Linked DNA regions of Callithrix jacchus. Each later gene encodes a partner of the first gene's protein in a complex. Links are inferred from orthologs where the notes say so. Each region holds a gene or a part of one and is shown in the gene's direction. Other genes may lie near its edges. The genes, in order: TNNI2 and TNNC2.

Evidence for each region.
Region 2: the proteins of TNNI2 (region 1) and TNNC2 are in contact, whole or in part, in a crystal structure (PDB 1A2X), measured with the Oryctolagus cuniculus proteins. The link is inferred for Callithrix jacchus from reciprocal best matches to the Homo sapiens genes TNNI2 and TNNC2. Residues at the interface, in NP_001076252.1 of Oryctolagus cuniculus: Glu5, Asn8, Arg9, Ile11, Thr12, Arg14, Arg15, Gln16, His17, Leu18, Lys19, Ser20, Val21, Met22, Leu23, Ile25, Ala26, Glu29, Leu30, Glu33; in NP_001076114.1 of Oryctolagus cuniculus: Ser13, Glu15, Met16, Ala18, Glu19, Ala22, Lys91, Leu96, Glu98, Cys99, Arg101, Ile102, Phe103, Arg105, Ile119, Phe120, Ala122, Ser123, Glu125, His126, Val127, Glu131, Ser134, Leu135, Asp138, Phe152, Met155, Met156, Val159, Gln160.

What each region holds. Positions count from the first base shown.
Region 1 is NC_133511.1:130,045,989-130,054,069, reverse strand, and holds TNNI2 (troponin I, fast skeletal muscle), read left to right. Parts: upstream 1-3,289; 5' UTR 3,290-3,344; intron 3,345-4,102; 5' UTR 4,103-4,132; intron 4,133-4,265; 5' UTR 4,266-4,619; coding exon 4,620-4,856; intron 4,857-4,938; coding exon 4,939-5,067; intron 5,068-5,211; coding exon 5,212-5,301; intron 5,302-5,411; coding exon 5,412-5,588; intron 5,589-6,544; coding exon 6,545-6,640; 3' UTR 6,641-6,764; downstream 6,765-8,081. UniProt on the Homo sapiens protein: Troponin I is the inhibitory subunit of troponin, the thin filament regulatory complex which confers calcium-sensitivity to striated muscle actomyosin ATPase activity.
Region 2 is NC_133506.1:41,063,668-41,071,706, reverse strand, and holds TNNC2 (troponin C, skeletal muscle), read left to right. Parts: upstream 1-3,056; 5' UTR 3,057-3,120; coding exon 3,121-3,123; intron 3,124-5,495; coding exon 5,496-5,547; intron 5,548-5,659; coding exon 5,660-5,803; intron 5,804-5,891; coding exon 5,892-6,006; intron 6,007-6,166; coding exon 6,167-6,303; intron 6,304-7,186; coding exon 7,187-7,218; 3' UTR 7,219-7,352; downstream 7,353-8,039. UniProt on the Homo sapiens protein: Troponin is the central regulatory protein of striated muscle contraction. Tn consists of three components: Tn-I which is the inhibitor of actomyosin ATPase, Tn-T which contains the binding site for tropomyosin and Tn-C.

The sequences.
Region 1 (8,081 bases):
GCTGCTGCTGCCGCTGCCACAGGAAGAAGCCCAGAGACAAGGAGGCCGTGGGCCTGGGCAGTGCCCAGGGCACCACCACCACACACCTGGTGAGGAGCGGCTCCTCTCCCGATCAGTCCAGAGAGGGCAGCTGGAAATCCAGGCTCCAGAGCCCAGGACAGCTAAGTGGCCTCAGCCCCAGGGACACTTTACTCCCCTCGAAACAGGGGTGACGAGGGCCTTCCTGGTAGGGAAGGTGGGTGAATAGAGGTGAGGAGGAGGCAGCATGAGAGGGGCGGCTCGGTGGGCCAGAGGGAGCCACAGCAGGTTCTTGAGGAAAGCCGGGGTAAACAGATACCACATTTGGTGGGTTTGGTGGGTCTCACAGAGCGAAGCTGAGGGTTTGTGCCTGCCGGGTGGCCTGCCCAGAGGTGGGGGTCTTGACCCATGTCCTGCAAGTGCTTCCCGGGAGCCCAGGGCTCCGATGGGGCATTGGCGGCAGCAGCAGCTGGCCCATGTCCGGACCCACCAGGTGCAGCCGGATGTGGAGAGTCTGCAATCCAGCCCGGCGGCCGCTCAGCAATGGGGGCGCCTGCAGCTCTCCCTGGAGTACGACTTTGGAAGGCAGGAGGTGAAGGGCCGCCGGTTCTGCAAGTTTCCGGAAAGGGTGATGGGTGAAGGGCCAAGCCTGTGCCCTGGGTGGTGGGGAGCCGACAGGGCAGGCCCCTTGGCTGAGCCCACTCCCCTGGCTCTCAGATCAGGGTGGGCCTGAGGCAGGCAGCCGACCTGAGGCCCGGGGGCACCGTGGACCCCTATGCCCGGCTCAGGGTCTCCACCCAGGCTGGGCACAGGCACGAGACAAAGGTGCACCGAGGCACGCTCTGCCCCGTGTTTGATGAGACCTGCTGCTTCCACGTGAGTCAGGGCTGGGCGGCTGGGCGGCTGGGGGCGCTAGGCTGGGGCAGAGGGCCTGGCTGACACCGCTGCCTCAGGTCCCGCAGGCGGAGCTGCCAAGGGCCACCCTGCAGGTGCAGCTTTTCCACTTCAGGCGCTTCTCGGGGCACGAGCCCCTGGGTGAGCTCCGCCTGCCACTGGGCACCGTGGATCTGCAGCATGTTCTGGAGCACTGGTACCCCCTGGGCCCACCGGCTGCCACTGAGGTGAGGCACGAATCACCAGGCCACAGACCCTCCCGCAGCCCAGGGCAGAGCTGGCAGGGACCCTGCCCTGTGGGACATGGGAGGGACTGAGGCCTGACGGGCAGCAGCTGTGGGGGCCTGAACCCCAGCTTGGCCAGAGGGGCCCTCCGGAGCTGAAGCCCTCTCACTGCCCGCAGCCCGAGCAGGTGGGGGAGCTGTGATGCTCCCTCCGGTACGTGCCCGGCTCAGGCCGTCTAACCGTGGTGGTGCTGGAAGCCCGAGGCCTGCGTCCAGGACTGGCAGGTGAGGGTCACATGTGCCCATGCTGGTGTACAAAGGTGGGACCCTGTGCACAGCCCCAGCCCGGGTCAGCGTCTCCACCTCCGGCCCCTCTTGCCTGCCCAGAGCCCTACGTGAAGGTCCAGCTCATGCTGAACCAGAGGAAGTGGAAGAAGAGGAAGACAGTTGGCAAAAAGGGCACAGCTGCCCCCTACTTCAACGAGGCCTTCACCTTCCTGGTGCCCTTCAGCCAGGTCCAGGTGGGCTGCTGGGAGGCAGGGTCAGATCAGGACCCAGTGCCAGACCGTGCTGACCAGTCTTTGTCCCCCAACCCCGCCCCGTGGCTTGTCTCTGTACAGAATGTGGACCTGGTGCTGACCATCTGGGACCGTGGCCCGCAGCTCCGGGCCGAGGCCGTGGGCAAGGTGCATCTGGGTGCCCGGGCCTCGGGGCAGCCCCTGCAGCACTGGGCGGACATGCTGGCCCACGCCCGGCAGCCCGTCGTCCAGTGGCACCCCCTGCGGCCAGTCATGGAGGTGGACCAAGCGCTGGCTCTGCAGCCCCGCCTGCGCCTGCCCCTGCCCCGCTTGGGAACACACCATGGGCCTGGGTCTCCCCGCTGAGCCCGGCCACTTGCCCAGGCTGCCCTGCAGGACCACTGCAATAAACGCCTTCTCCTGCCACTGTGTGTCCAGCTGGAGCCCCAGGGGACGCAGACACAGGGCCCGGCTCCACTCACCAGGGTCCCCCACAAGGATGGGGGAGGGGCTCCTCTCCAGGCTCAGCCAGGCCCTGAGGCCTCTGACCCAGCCCTGCTGGACCTCCGGGTAGGGGTGAGGAACCTCCCCAGGAGCACAGATCTGTGCCCCCCTCCCCCGGCCCTTCACCCTGCCCCTGCCGTCACCTCCTGGGCCCCCTGGGAAGACGGGGAGGTAGGGTCCAGAGAGTCAGGCCAGCTGGGATGGGGCGGGCGGAAGGCAGCCTTGCAGGACACAGCTCGGCCGGGCCTTCCCCGTGTGAACAGCAGGGGGCAGCAGATGCCTTCGGAAGCCGCTGAGGCCTTTAGGGGCTCCGCCCTGGCCGCTTCCCCTCTCCGTCCCCCACACATCTGGGCTGCCTTAGCGGCTGGAGCCTCCACGCTGCTGTCTCCTCTGATCCTCCCCATGGGGTTGGGGCCAAGAGCCCCCGCTCCGAGAGGGTGCCAAGTCACGGTCCCGGGGCCTCTGCAGGGTGGGGGCTGCGGAGCTGGGGGGAACGAGGGCCTCGGGCCTGGGTGAGAAGGGCAGTGCCGGGCCTGCCCGGGCAGCCAGGCGGGCCCCAAGCCCCCTCGGGTCAGAAAGGCTCCCAACGCGGGTGGCGCCACCCTCCTTAGGCTGAAGGATGTGTTCCAAGTCTCCGGAGGGGACTGTGGCCAGGCGTTCCAGGCAGGCTGGGAGGGGCCCAGTGCACGTACAGCAAGCCCCTCAGTCCCAGTCCTGCTCCCCAGGCAGGAAGCCGGCTTCACGCGGGGAGGGGGCAGCCCCCAGCCCTTGGCCGCTGTGGCAGGGCCCGGGAGGCCTCACCCCAGGAGCCAGGCTTGCAGAAGGGGGTCAGGCGTGGGCTGAAGCGGGGAACGGCCCACCGCAGGGGCCCGGTGGGGGAGCGGGCCCAGCAGAGAGGCTGTGGCTGAACCCAGCGGGCAGCCCGGTCGGCGAGCTGGACGCTGACCTCGGGCGAGGTGGGGTGAGGTGCACATCCTTGAAGGGTGACCCCTCGGCTGACCTGAGCCGTGTGCCCGGCCGATGCCACAGGCAGAGCCAGGCACCAGTGTCCTCAGGCCCCTTACAAGAACCGCAGAGGCGTCTCCAGCACGTCACCGAGCCCTAAATAGAGCCGCCCAGCCGCGGTGCCCCATCAAGACTTCTTGGACTGGGTGGCAGCACGCGGCCAGGCCAGGAGGCCGGACAGGTGGGGAGGTCTCTGTGGCTTCCTCGCCCCCATTGGTCTGAGGAGGACTCCATGCCCTTTCTGAGCAGGGGCCCAGCCTGGGGGAGGCCATTTATACCCCTCCCCCTGGGCCCACCATCCCAACTCGCCACCACCGGCCTGACCTCACGCCCAGCCCTGCTGCCCAGACTCTAGGTGAGGCCCAGCCTGGCCTGCCGAGGCTGGGGGACAGGGCATGGCTTGAGCTAGCTTGAGGGAGGACTCCCTGAGGCAGGGGTCTGGGGGTCGAGGGTGCCACCAGCAGCCCCCTTTGGGGGCCTCCGCAGACCGGGGAATGACAGGGAGAGGCTTGGGGAGGCAGCTCTGGCTGGAGGCAGGTCTTAGACAGGCCCCGACGACCAGGCTTCACCTCTGGGGACCCTGGAAGGAGAGTTTTGGAGTCAAGAAACCCCCGAACCTGAGCCCCCGGGCCACACTGAGGAGCCAAAGATGGAGGGTTAAAAATAACAGCGTCACTCAGGCGGCCACCTGCGCTGGCCCGTCCCCCACCCTCAGGGACAGCTGCAGCTCCTCAGGCTATGCCTGGGACATTTTGGGAACACTTTCTCCTCTTACTTCTCACCCTGGGGAATTCCAAGACGTTGTCCTTGAAGGGGGTCACAGTAAGGGGTGGGGTGGGAGGGGGGCGTCAGGGGAGGCCTGCACCCTTTACCAGCTGCTGGGCGAAGGCGTCGTGGTAGCCAGGCCCGGGCGACACCTCTGCCTTCCTCTCCCCGCAGGCTCCAAGCTCAGGACCTCAGGATGGGAGAGTAAGTGTACCCCCACACAGTGCCCCTGCCGCCTCCCGCCCCGTCCACCCCATCACGAATCCCACCCTGACGGCCATGGCCCTAACCTCTCTCTTCTCTCCCTGCCCGGCCTGTGTTCTCCCTCCCTGGACAGTGAGGAGGTAAGTACTTGCTGGGGGCACAAAGCATGGTGGGAAGGGGCTCCCCCACTCAGGATAGGTCACACGTTGCAGCCTCAAGGCCCTGAGACTCAGGGAAGATGGCCCCTGCCCTCCCTGCTGGCAAAAAGTGCCCCACCCACCCACCAAGAGAGGAAGTGGCTGCGCCGTGCCTTCTGGCCAGGGCAAGTGTGGCTGTGGCCTGGTCACAGGGAATCACTTCTTCTTTCTGATTCCTGCACTTCCCGCCCCAACCTTGCCAGCCAACCTGCCCCAGACCGGCCCTGTGGCCTGACTCCTCTCCCCCAGCCCCTGCCCCCCAGCACTATGTGCCACCTGGGCAAAGTGTCATGCACCACACAGCGCCCTGTCCCAGAGCGAGGTCTGGGCCCGGGGAGGCTGGGCCTCCCCATCATGGTCTCGGGAGCCCCCAGGCTCCGCTGGTCCCTGGGCAGGAGCCCCCGACCTGGCCAGGGAGTGTGGAACGGGGTCGGGGGGGTCCAGGCCCGGAAGTCCTGACTCTGTCCCCTGTCCCTGCCATGCAGAAGCGGAACAGGGCCATCACGGCCCGCAGACAGCACCTGAAGGTAGGTGTGGGCACCTGGGGGGCTGTCCGGGTGGGTCTGCGGGGAGAGCCAGCCCAGCCCCTCACCACCTGCCCCGCCGCAGAGCGTGATGCTCCAGATCGCGGCCACGGAGCTGGAGAAGGAGGAGAGCCGCCGCGAGGCCGAGAAGCAGAACTACCTGGCGGAGCACTGCCCACCACTGCACATCCCGGGCTCCATGTCCGAAGTGCAGGTACTGCCAACCCCCCGCAGCCGGCCTGCCTGCTGCCTCGGTTTCCCCACTTGTCAAGAGGGCCAGCCGGGTGGTCAGGGCAGGGGCCGGTGACCGTGGCTGCAAAGTGTCAGGATGGCCACCCGCCCCCACGCCCACCCCTAGGAGCTCTGCAAACAGCTGCACGCCAAGATTGACACGGCTGAAGAGGAGAAGTACGACATGGAGGTGAGGGTGCAGAAGAGCAGCAAGGAGGTGAGTGACGGGGATGGGCAGCGGCCCCCAAGGCGGGTGGGCGGACTGGCAGGGGCAGGGAGCTGAGGCCACTGGGACCTCGGGTCCTCACCTGGCTCCCGTGCCCACAGCTGGAGGACATGAACCAGAAGCTGTTCGATCTGCGGGGCAAGTTCAAGCGGCCCCCACTGCGGAGGGTGCGCATGTCGGCCGACGCCATGCTCAAGGCCCTGCTGGGCTCCAAGCACAAGGTGTGCATGGACCTGAGGGCCAACCTCAAGCAGGTCAAGAAGGAGGACACAGAGAAGGTGCGTGCCACGGGGAGCACCACCCACGCCCACCCTGCTGGGGGAGCACCACCCATGCCCACCCTCTCCCTGGGGAGCACCACCCATGCCCACCCTCTCCCTGGGGAGCACCACCTACACCCACCCTCTCCCTGGGGAGCACCACCCATGCCCACCCTCTCCCTGGGGAGCACCACCTACACCCACCCTCTCCCTGGGGAGCACCACCCATGCCCACCCTCTCCCTGGGGAGCACCACCCACACCCACCCTCTCCCTGGGGAGCACCACCCATGCCCACCCTCTCCCTGGGGAGCACCACCCACACCCACCCTCTCCCTGGGGAGCACCACCCATGCCCACCCTGCTGGGGGAGCACCACCCACACCCACCCTCTCCCTGGGGAGCACCACCCACACCCACCCTCTCCCTGGGGAGCACCACCCACGCCCACCCTCTCCCTGGGGAGCACCACCCATGCCCACCCTCTCCCTGGGGAGCACCACCTACACCCACCCTCTCCCTGGAGAGCACCACCCACGCCCACCCTCTCCCTGGGGAGCACCACCCACGCCCACCCTCTCCCTGGGGAGCACCACCCACGCCCACCCTCTCCCTGGGGAGCACCACCCATGCCCACCCTCTCCCTGGGGAGCACCACCTACACCCACCCTCTCCCTGGAGAGCACCACCCACGCCCACCCTCTCCCTGGGGAGCACCACCCACGCCCACCCTCTCCCTGGGGAGCACCTCCCACACCCGCCTTGTCCCTGGGGAGCACCTCCCACACCTGCCTTGTCCCTGGGGAGCACCTCCCACACTCACCCTGCTATGGGTCCCAAAAGCACACTGCCCTGCCGGGTGCCCTGCACCACTGCCCCTCCAGGGCACTCTACAGCCCAATGCAGAGGGGAACCTGAGGCTGAAGGTGGTGTGGACCAGGGTGCGCCTGAGCTCTCTCCTGCCCCCACCCCCAGGAGCGGGACCTGCGAGACGTGGGTGACTGGAGGAAGAACATCGAGGAGAAGTCGGGCATGGAGGGTCGGAAGAAGATGTTCGAGTCGGAGTCCTAGGCTCCTCGTCAGCCCACGCCTGCCCGGGGCCCAGCTCCCAGCAGAGCACACCGGGGGCACGCACCCAGAGCCTGCCGTGGAGGGCTGGCCTTGTGTCCACTGTCAATAAAGGATCTGAATCCCCTTGGCTGGTCTGGTCTGGCTCTCCCCAGCCTCATTGGCTGTGCTCTGGGCCCCGGTCTCGGTGGCCTGCGGTATGGTCAGTGGCCAGTGGGGAAAGCCTGGGAGGAGGCTGCACGGGGCCTGAGGGTTTCGGCTTGGGAGGGAGGCTGCTTCCAGCAAGGAGGTGAGTCCGGGAAGGCCCTGCAGGGGAATCCACCCACTTGGAGAACGTGGAGGGGTGCACCTGCAAAGTGGGCCACGGGATCTCGGGCTAGGGATCAGCACAGGCTAGGGATCAGCATGGGATCTCGGGCTAGGGATCAGAGACCGGCCTGGTCTCTCGTCCTTACTGCCACCCTGAAAGATAGGCTGTGTCACTCTTCACCACACCAGGGAACCAAGAGACTTGTGCCCACCAGCGACCCCAACCAGGCCCCAGTGTGGCCCCAACTCTCCTTTCCACTCTGCCCCAAGACCCTAGCCCCAACTGGCCACCAAGGACAGGGCTCTGACAGGCTCTGACAAGGCTGGTGACAGCAAGGCTGCCTTGTTATCAGTTGCGCTCTTCGAAGGCTACCAGAGCAGGCACGCCAAGGTCCCTCTGCTCAGATCTTCGCTGAGGAGACGCCAGCCCGCGCTCTGCCCTTGCCCTCTGGAGGTCCTGCTGATTGATCTGCCGGAGGTAGGACGTACATCGGCAGTTCCGCCTCTGGCTGCCTTGAGGACTGACGTCAACGGGCGCCCGGGATGGCCTTGGCTGTGTACCGTCCCCCGCCCCGCAGGCATCCTCCAGCCCTGGCATTCAGCTCTGACCTTTACCGCAACTGAAGCCCCACGCCAGGCTGAACCCCCACCCGGGCCTTCTCCTGGAGCCCCCTGTAGGGGAAGGCCAGGCCACTAGCGTGAAGCAGCACAGCTTGGGGCCAGGGGTGCACAGCCTGGTGGGTGTAGCTGGGGCAGAGGTGCAGGGTGCCCCACACCGTGATGATGGGCGCAGCCCGGGGTGGAGGGGGTCATGGGGCACAGAAGTGTGGCTTGAGACCTGGCCTGTGGGGGAGACACTGCTCAAGGCCGAGCCTCAGCTGAGCCTGATGGAGGACAAGGGGTGCTGCAGGCCGGGGTGTGCCCGGCACAGATCCAGGCAGGCGGGCACATGCACAAGTGGTGGCGGGGCCTGGCCATAGACCCCCTTGCAGGGTACCCGGCAGCTCTGTGGTGCCTGTGCCCACTGGGAAAGAGGCTGGACCCAGTCTCATGGGGTATCAGGGCCGGGCATGAGTTCACACCTGGCTCACCACAGGATTCCACTCGGCCGGCCGGGCAGACACACTACGTAGGA
Region 2 (8,039 bases), on another chromosome or scaffold:
AGACAGATGAAGGGAGGGAATATGGGAGTTTCTGGCAGAAAAGACCAGCATATGCAAAGGCCTGAAGGTTCGTAAAAGGTGGTGTTTAGAGTAGTATTTTAAAGTCTGACCAGAACAGACAGCAACACAATGTGGAGGGGAGGAGCAGGGAGATTAGAAGGGCCAGTGGGACCTTGCTTGGCCACATTCAGGAATTTGGGAGGCTGGAGGATCACTTGAGTGAGGTCAGGAGTTCGAGACCAGCCTGGCCAACATGATGAAGGCTTGTCTCTATGAAAAATGCAAAAATTGGCTGGGCACAGTGGCTCATGCCTATAATCCCAGCACTTTGGGAGGCAAAGGCGGGTGGATCACCCGAGGTTAGGAGTTTGAGACCAGCCTGACCAACATGGAGAAACACTGTTTCTACATGAAATACAAAATTAGCTGGGCGTGGTGGTACATGCCTATAATCCCAGCTACTCGGGAGGCTGAGGCAGGAGAATCACTTGAACCTGGGAGGCAGATGTGGTGAGCTCAGATTGCACCATTGCATTCCAGCGTGGGCAACAAGAGCAAGACTTCATCTCAAAAAAAAATTAGCCAGGTGTGGTGGTATGTGTCTGTAATCCCGGCTACTCAAAAGGCTGAGGTATGAGAATCACTTGAACCCAGGAGGTGGAGGTTGCAGTGAGCCAAGATTGTGCCACTGCACTCCAGCCTGGGTGACAGAGTGAGACTCTATTTCAAAAACAAAACCCAAAAAGCAAAAATAACCAAATTGGAATTGGAATCCCATGGGTCTCACCCTTTGGCTCCCTGCCTGCCTGGGGAGGCCTTATCTAGCTTGGCATGGCCCTGCTGAACTTTCCTTGGGAATGTCTATATATAGGGGAAGCCCAGTTGCCACTGTCCATCTGTCTTCCTTGGTGTCCAGCCCCGCTTTCCTGGCCCTGGAGCCTGCTATCGGTTGTCTTGGTGCTCTTTCTGTCGACGTAGCTACTGTCCACAAGCCTTGCCTTACTCCCCAGTGCCTAGTATGCACCTCGTGGATTCTGAGGGTGGGATCCCTCTGGACTTGATCTGCCCACCCCTTTACTCCCTAGATGACCAGATTTCTTCACTGAGCTCTAGGAAGGGGCCAGCTGCCCTTTTACCACTTAAAGAACCTTCCCCTGCCAACTCGCCACCCCTAAAAGTGAATCCAAACCACCTTTCCCTGGAGAAGGTAACTTTGAAAGAAGGGTGTTTGCTTTCAATGATCATTTCTCCTCCAAATGCACATCCTCCTCTCCTCCATCCCTCCCCTCCATACACTTTTCTATCTGCACAGGTACCCAAAGGACAGTGTCCCAACTTTCCTCCAGTCGGAATTCATAATAAGAATCATTTGGGCTAGGCGTGGTGGTTCACGCCTATAATCCCAGCACTTTGGGAAGCCAAGGTGGTCAGATCAAGAGGTCAGGAGATGGAGACCATCCTGGCCAACATGGTGAAACCCCGTTTCTACTAAAATACAAAAAAATTAGCTGGGCGTGGTGGCATGCACCTGTAGTCCCAGCTATTTGGGAGGCTGAGGCAGGGGAATTGCTTGAACCCAGGAGGTGGAGGTTGCAGTGAGCCGAGATCGCACCACTGTACTCCAGCCTCGCGACAGAACGAGACTCCATCTCAAAAAATAATACGAAGAGGGCCAGGCGCGGTGGCTCACGCCTATAATCCCAGCACTTTGGGAGGCCGAGGTGGGTGGATTATGAGGTCAAGAGATCGAGACCATCCTGGTCAACAAGGTGAAACCCCGTCTCTACTTAAAATACAAAAATTAGCTGGGCATGGTGGTGCACGCCTGTAGTCCCAGCTACTTGGGAGGCTGAGGCAGGAGAATTGCTTGAACCCAGAAGGAGGAGGTTGTGATGAGCCAAGATTGTGCCATTGCACTCCAGTCTGGGTAACAACAGCAAAACTCCGTCTCAAAAAAAAAAAAAAAAAGAAGAAAAAGAAGAATCATCAACATGGGTGGGCATGGTGTCTCATGACTATAATTCTAGCAGTTTGGGAGGCCAAAGTGGAAGGATCCCTTCAGCCCAGGAGTTCGAGACCAGCATGGTCAACATGGTGAAACCTCATCTCTACAAAAAATACAAAAATAAAACAAAACAGACAACAACAAAAAACCAGGGATGGTAGTGCACCTCTAGTCACAGCTACTCGGGAGGCTGAGGTGGGAGGATCACTTGAGCCCAGGAGACTGAGGCTGCAGTGAGCTGTAACAGCACTATTGCACACTAGCCTTGGTGACAGAGCAAGTATAGACCTTTATGATTTATAAAGCTCTGCAGTCAAATGGGGATAATAATAGTTGCTATCTCATAGGAGGAGCACTAGATGAGATCATGTTAAAATACTTAGCACAGTGTATGGCACGTCATGGAGGTTCAGTAAACAGTGGCCTAGCTGTCACTTTCTCCTCCTTCTATCCCCTACCCCTCACCATGGTTCAAAGACAGGACATTCCTCTTGCCAAGCACTAACCCTGTATACCTGGCCTAAGCTAGGTGACTTATACCTGGGTTCCCATTTACCGTGGTTTCTCTGTGAGGGAGACTGCACAGAGAGGTCCATCCTACAGACGAGGAAATGACTCAGAGAGGCATTTCGACCTGCCCAAGGTCACACAGCTCACAGAGGCCGGCCTTGAATGTTGGGTTTTGGACTTCAAGGCTTGTACTCTCCTCATTTTACTGTGCTGCCTCACTCTTTACTACTCTGATTGTCCTTACCATCTTGGAGCCAGTGTGCTTCCCTGGTGAGAGGGGGAGAGCAGGGGGACTCCAAGGCGGTGGAACAGGGCGGGCCTTCCTCACAAGAATCTGGGACGTCAAGGCCTGCCACCTGCTCGGAGGCTTAAATTTCTCTGCAAGGGCCCTTGGCTAAATTAGGTAATGGGTTCAGACCTTTGGTGGGGTGGGGCTCACTGACACCAGGATCTGATTGGGTAGGGCATCCAGTGCTGGGGAGCAGGGAGGTGGGAGGGGAGGGTGCCCCTACAAATCCCAGGGGCTAGAGCAGGCCAGGGCATCTTTGGGTGGTGGAGTGCAAAGGAGGTGACCTGCAGCAGAGGAGACCCGGTCACCAGCAACCATGGTAAGGACAAGAAGGGATTGCGGCTTCACTCACGGGAACACTCTGGACATCTTTGAGGCCAGGCATGGGTGCTCTGTGGGGCAGTAACTTGGATGTGTGAGGTTGGAGCATGGAGGTTCCTGGAACCCAGGTGTCTTGGAGGAAGGCCTTTGACTTTTCTTGGAAGGGGAGGGCTGGGGTGTTCCAGAGATTGATGGTCAAGGCTTGCTGACTGCCTATGCACCTTTGGAAACTTCCAGCACTGTCATTCATAGACCTGTGAAGAGCTCTTAGCTATGTTTCTTTCACATAGTGGGGACCCTGAGGGGTCAGAGTGAGTTACCCAGCAAGCCAGTGGCAGGGGTGAGCCAGACTCCTGGCCAAACCCTCCTACCATCATGGAGAGAAGAAAGGCTCCTCCAGAAGATGAGAGGCCTGCAGGGCGTGGGGCCCACTCAGATACAGGGGCTCCGGGACCCCTGAGGACGATGGGAAGAGACAGAAGATGACAGACCAGAATTAGAGAAACCCTGCTCTCCTAGAGGGGGTTCTGAGTTGGTGCTGTGGTTTTCGTCTGAGAATCCCCTCCTCACTTCACCTCAAGGAGTAACTAGATCCCAGAGGCCAGCTGCTGTTGCCCATGCCTGACTAAAAATAGCCTGCCCTCCTGGCACAGGGAAAGAAGAAGAGAGTAAGGAGGGGGAGAAGGAGGAGGGCCAGCGGCCAGCCGGCTGAAGAGCTCCTTGGAAGCCTCACCCCATCCTTACTGCCAGCTTCAGCCCAAAGCCTCCGACCCAGATGGTCTGGCTTGGATATGACCTGGAAGCCCCCACAGAAATCTCACTTTCATGTCAAGGCCCCCCTCACATTCTGCCCAATATGAGAGGCCTTTTCTCCAATGACTGAATCCTAAGAAGGAAGCTGATCTGCGACTCCGCCAGTTCTCTGAGGGGCAGGAGGATGTATCCTCGGTCTCTTCTTGGTGGTCCCAGTGCCTGATCTGTGGCCTGACATGCAGCAAGTGCTCAATAACTTTGTGTCCTTTTTTTTTTTTTTTTTGAGTTGAAGTCTCACACTATCGACAGGGCTGGAGTGCAATGGCGTGCTCTCAGCTCATTGCAACCTCTGACTCCCAGGTTCAAGTGATTCTCCAGCCTCAGCCTCCTGAGTAGTTGGGATTACAGGTGCCCGCCACCACGTTCGGCTAATTCTGTGTAATTTTAGTAGAGACGGGGTTTCACTATGTTGGCCAGGCTGGTCTCAAACTCCTGACCTCCTGATCCACCTGCCTCAGCCTCCCAAAGTGCTGGGATTACAGGGTGAGCCATTGTGCGCGGCTTGTGTTGCATTATTATTTATCTGAGAACAAACATTTTATTGAGCAACTATTAAAGTACTGAGCACCATTAGGAGCTAGAGAAAACTGGAAAATACTGCTGGAATGGTGCTAGCCTTTTACAAAGCCCTTTCACACCCCTGATATCTCATCCCTGAAAAGCTACAGAGAAGAGATGAAGGCACACTAAGTGACTTGCCTAAGGTCACTGGGGGGATTCCTGACTTGGCCTTCAATTGACAAGTGAGAAGGCCTTGGGCTTAATTTGCTGTCTCCTCTCTTTTTCTCAAAACTAGTGCCAGGCTGAGCACGGTGGCTCTCAGCACTTTGGGAAGCTGAGGTGAGCAAATCACCTGAGGTCAGGAGTTCGAGACCATCCTGACCAACATGGTGAAACCCCGCCTCTACTAAAAATACAAAAATCAGCTGGGCATGATGGCACACACCTGTAATCCCAGCTACTTAGGAGGCTGAGGCAGGAGAATTGCTTGACCCTGGCAGGTAGAGGTTTCAGTGAGCCGAGATCCTGCCATTGCACTCCAGCCTGGGTGACAGGGTGAGACTCTGTCTCAAGCAAACAAAAACAAAAAACGGGGGTCAGCAGCTGGACACAGTGGCTCAAGCCTGTAATCCCAGCACTTTGAGAGGCTGAGGCGGGAGGATCACTTGAGCCCAGGAGTTCTAAGCCAGTCTGGGCAATATAGTCAGACCCCATCTCTACCAAAAATTTAAAAAATTAGCCAGGCATGGTGTACACTAGTCCCAGATACTTAGGAGGCTGAGGCAGGAGGATCACTTGAGACCAGGAGGTCAAAGCTGCAGTGAGTTGTGATCATACTACATATCCAACCTGTGTGACAGAGCGAGACCTTGTCTTCTGAATAAAACAAAACTGATTGGGTGCTGTGGGGGCACACAAATATGTGACGAGTTTGAAGTTGTTCTTCTGGAGGACCAAGGGGCGCTGGCAGAGTGGGGGTTGGGGTGAATGGGGTAGAGGTGAGGTGCTGCTCTAGGGTTACCTCTTCAGCTGACTTTTTCTCTGTGTCTCCTGCAGACTGACCAGCAGGCTGAGGCCCGGTCCTACCTCAGCGAGGAGATGATCGCTGGTGAGTGAGGCCGGCAGGCTGGGAAGCAGTTGGCCTCCCGGCAGGGTTGGGGGGTAGGTGTGAGGCTGACAGTCCAGCGATCCTCACCTCTGCCCTCTGCTCTCCCTCGCAGAGTTCAAGGCTGCCTTTGACATGTTTGATGCTGATGGTGGTGGGGACATCAGCGTCAAGGAGTTGGGCACCGTGATGAGGATGCTGGGCCAGACACCCACCAAGGAGGAGCTGGACGCCATCATCGAGGAGGTGGATGAGGACGGTGAGCGGCTGGCCCTCGGAGGCAGGGGATGGTGGGGAGAGGCAGCGGCGGCCGGGCTCAGGCTCAGTCCACCACCTGCTCCCCGCAGGCAGCGGCACCATTGACTTCGAGGAGTTCTTGGTCATGATGGTGCGCCAGATGAAAGAGGATGCAAAGGGGAAGAGTGAGGAGGAGCTGGCCGAGTGCTTCCGCATCTTCGACAGGTGTGCTGGAGGCCTGGGAGCCAAGGGAGGGGCCGAGCAGTCAGAGCCCGACCGGTGGCGCCGGAAGGTTCCCGGGTTGGGGGTGTGGGGACGGGGTGTCGAGCGTAACCAGGGCAACTCGCCCCGGTCCTGAGCCCTCCCCTATCCCTCGGACTCGAAGGAACGCAGACGGCTACATCGACGCGGAGGAGCTGGCTGAGATTTTCAGGGCCTCTGGAGAGCATGTGACGGACGAAGAGATCGAATCTCTGATGAAAGACGGGGACAAGAACAACGATGGCCGCATTGACTTCGATGGTGAGGGCCGCGGCAGCTTGGGAGAGAGGGTGGGAGCCACAGGGGCAGCGGGTACTGGTGCCACTGGCTCCCGTGCGCTGTCGCTGGCCTTGTGGGCGGGGCTGGGCGTCACCTCACCAAGTTCCTCCTAAGTGTTGGTATAGAAGTGCTCCACGACTCCGTGCAGTTTATCAGTTAACGACCAGGCAGCAGGGCGCGATGGCTCAGGCCTGTAAAATCCTAGCGCGTTGGGAGGACGAGCCGGGAGGATTACTTGAGGACAGGAGTTTGAGACAAGCCTGGGCAACATAGTGAGACCCTGTCTTTACAAAAATAAAATAAAAAGCCAGGGGTCTCCTGTGATCCCAGTTGCTCCAGGGGCTGAGGTGAGAGGATCACTTGAGCCCAGGAGGTCCAGGCTGCAGTGATTGTGCCACTGCACTCTAGGCTGGGCGACAGGCCTTGGTGACAGACCTTGGCAACAGAGTGAGACCCTGTCTCAACAAAAACAAAAAACAAGGCCGGGTGCAGTGGCTCAGGCCTGTAATCCCAGCAGTTTCAGAGGCAGAGGTGGGTGGATCATGAGGTCAGGAGATTGAGACCATCCTGGCTAACATGGTGAAACCCCATCTCTACTAAAATACAAAAAAATAGCCGGGCCTGGTGGCATGCACCTGTAGTCTCAGCTACTCGGGAGGCTGAGGCAGGAGAATCGCTTGAACTTGGGAGGCGGAGGTTGCAGTGAGCTGAGATTTTGCCACTCCACTCCAGCCTGGGTTACACTCCAGCTAGACTCCGTCTCAAAACAAACAAAAAAGTCATCCCCTCTGAATGACTGGAGCCCTGGCCTGACCTTTGCATCCCCAGGTGGGACCTGTGACCCGCTCCCTCTCCTTTCCCGCAGAGTTCCTGAAGATGATGGAGGGTGTGCAATAAGGAGTGGACAGTCACCTCTACCAAGATCACGCATCCCTAAGGCCTGGGAGACTCCGCTCCACCGGGTCCCCACCAGGGAAGTGCAGCCCCTCATGGGTCTTTTTCTGGAAGGAATAAAAGCAAATGTTCCAAAATTTGCCTGAATGAGGGAAGAACCCCAGAGACAGCAGGTCTCAAGGGCTGTGGTCCAGGGCGCCATCCCGGCTGGCACCACCCGGAGCACCCTCGGGGATCCCCGGGAGAAGCTGTCTAAGCAGTGGGATGTGGAAGGGAGCTGGGTCCCAGAGCCCGAGGCGGTGGCTGTGAGTGCCCAAGTGTAGGCATCACCAACGCGTTCTGAGGGTTCTCAGCAGCCTCCCGACAGCTGGCGTGGGCGTGGGCAACTTGGAGGACCGGCGGCGGTGGTGGCTGGGTGGTGGTGGACAGGAGTCTGCAGGTGCTTGGAGTTGAGTCAGGGTGAGCTGGCGGACTTCGGAGGGGTCCCCAGAGGGCAGGTAGGGTAAGGGGGTGGCAGGAGGCTACCCCCACCAGAGGGGAGGAGCAGGGGAGCTCCCTCACTTCCCCACGTCCATCTTTTCTGGAATATTTTGGTCTTGGGTGTTGTAGCTGCCACCTTCTGCAGGCTCCCTAGCTGGGGAGTTGGGGAGTGGGTGCTCATCCATGCCAGGCAGCATTGTTTCTGCTTGACCTCCTACTTCCTCTGTTCTTCCAAGTGCTTACTCCTGGCTTCCTGCTGGTGGTGGTGGGGGAGAGGGGAGGTATCCACAAAGGAGATTCTGATCTCATCATTTGACCCCAGATCCCTGCTTCTGCCTGGTCTC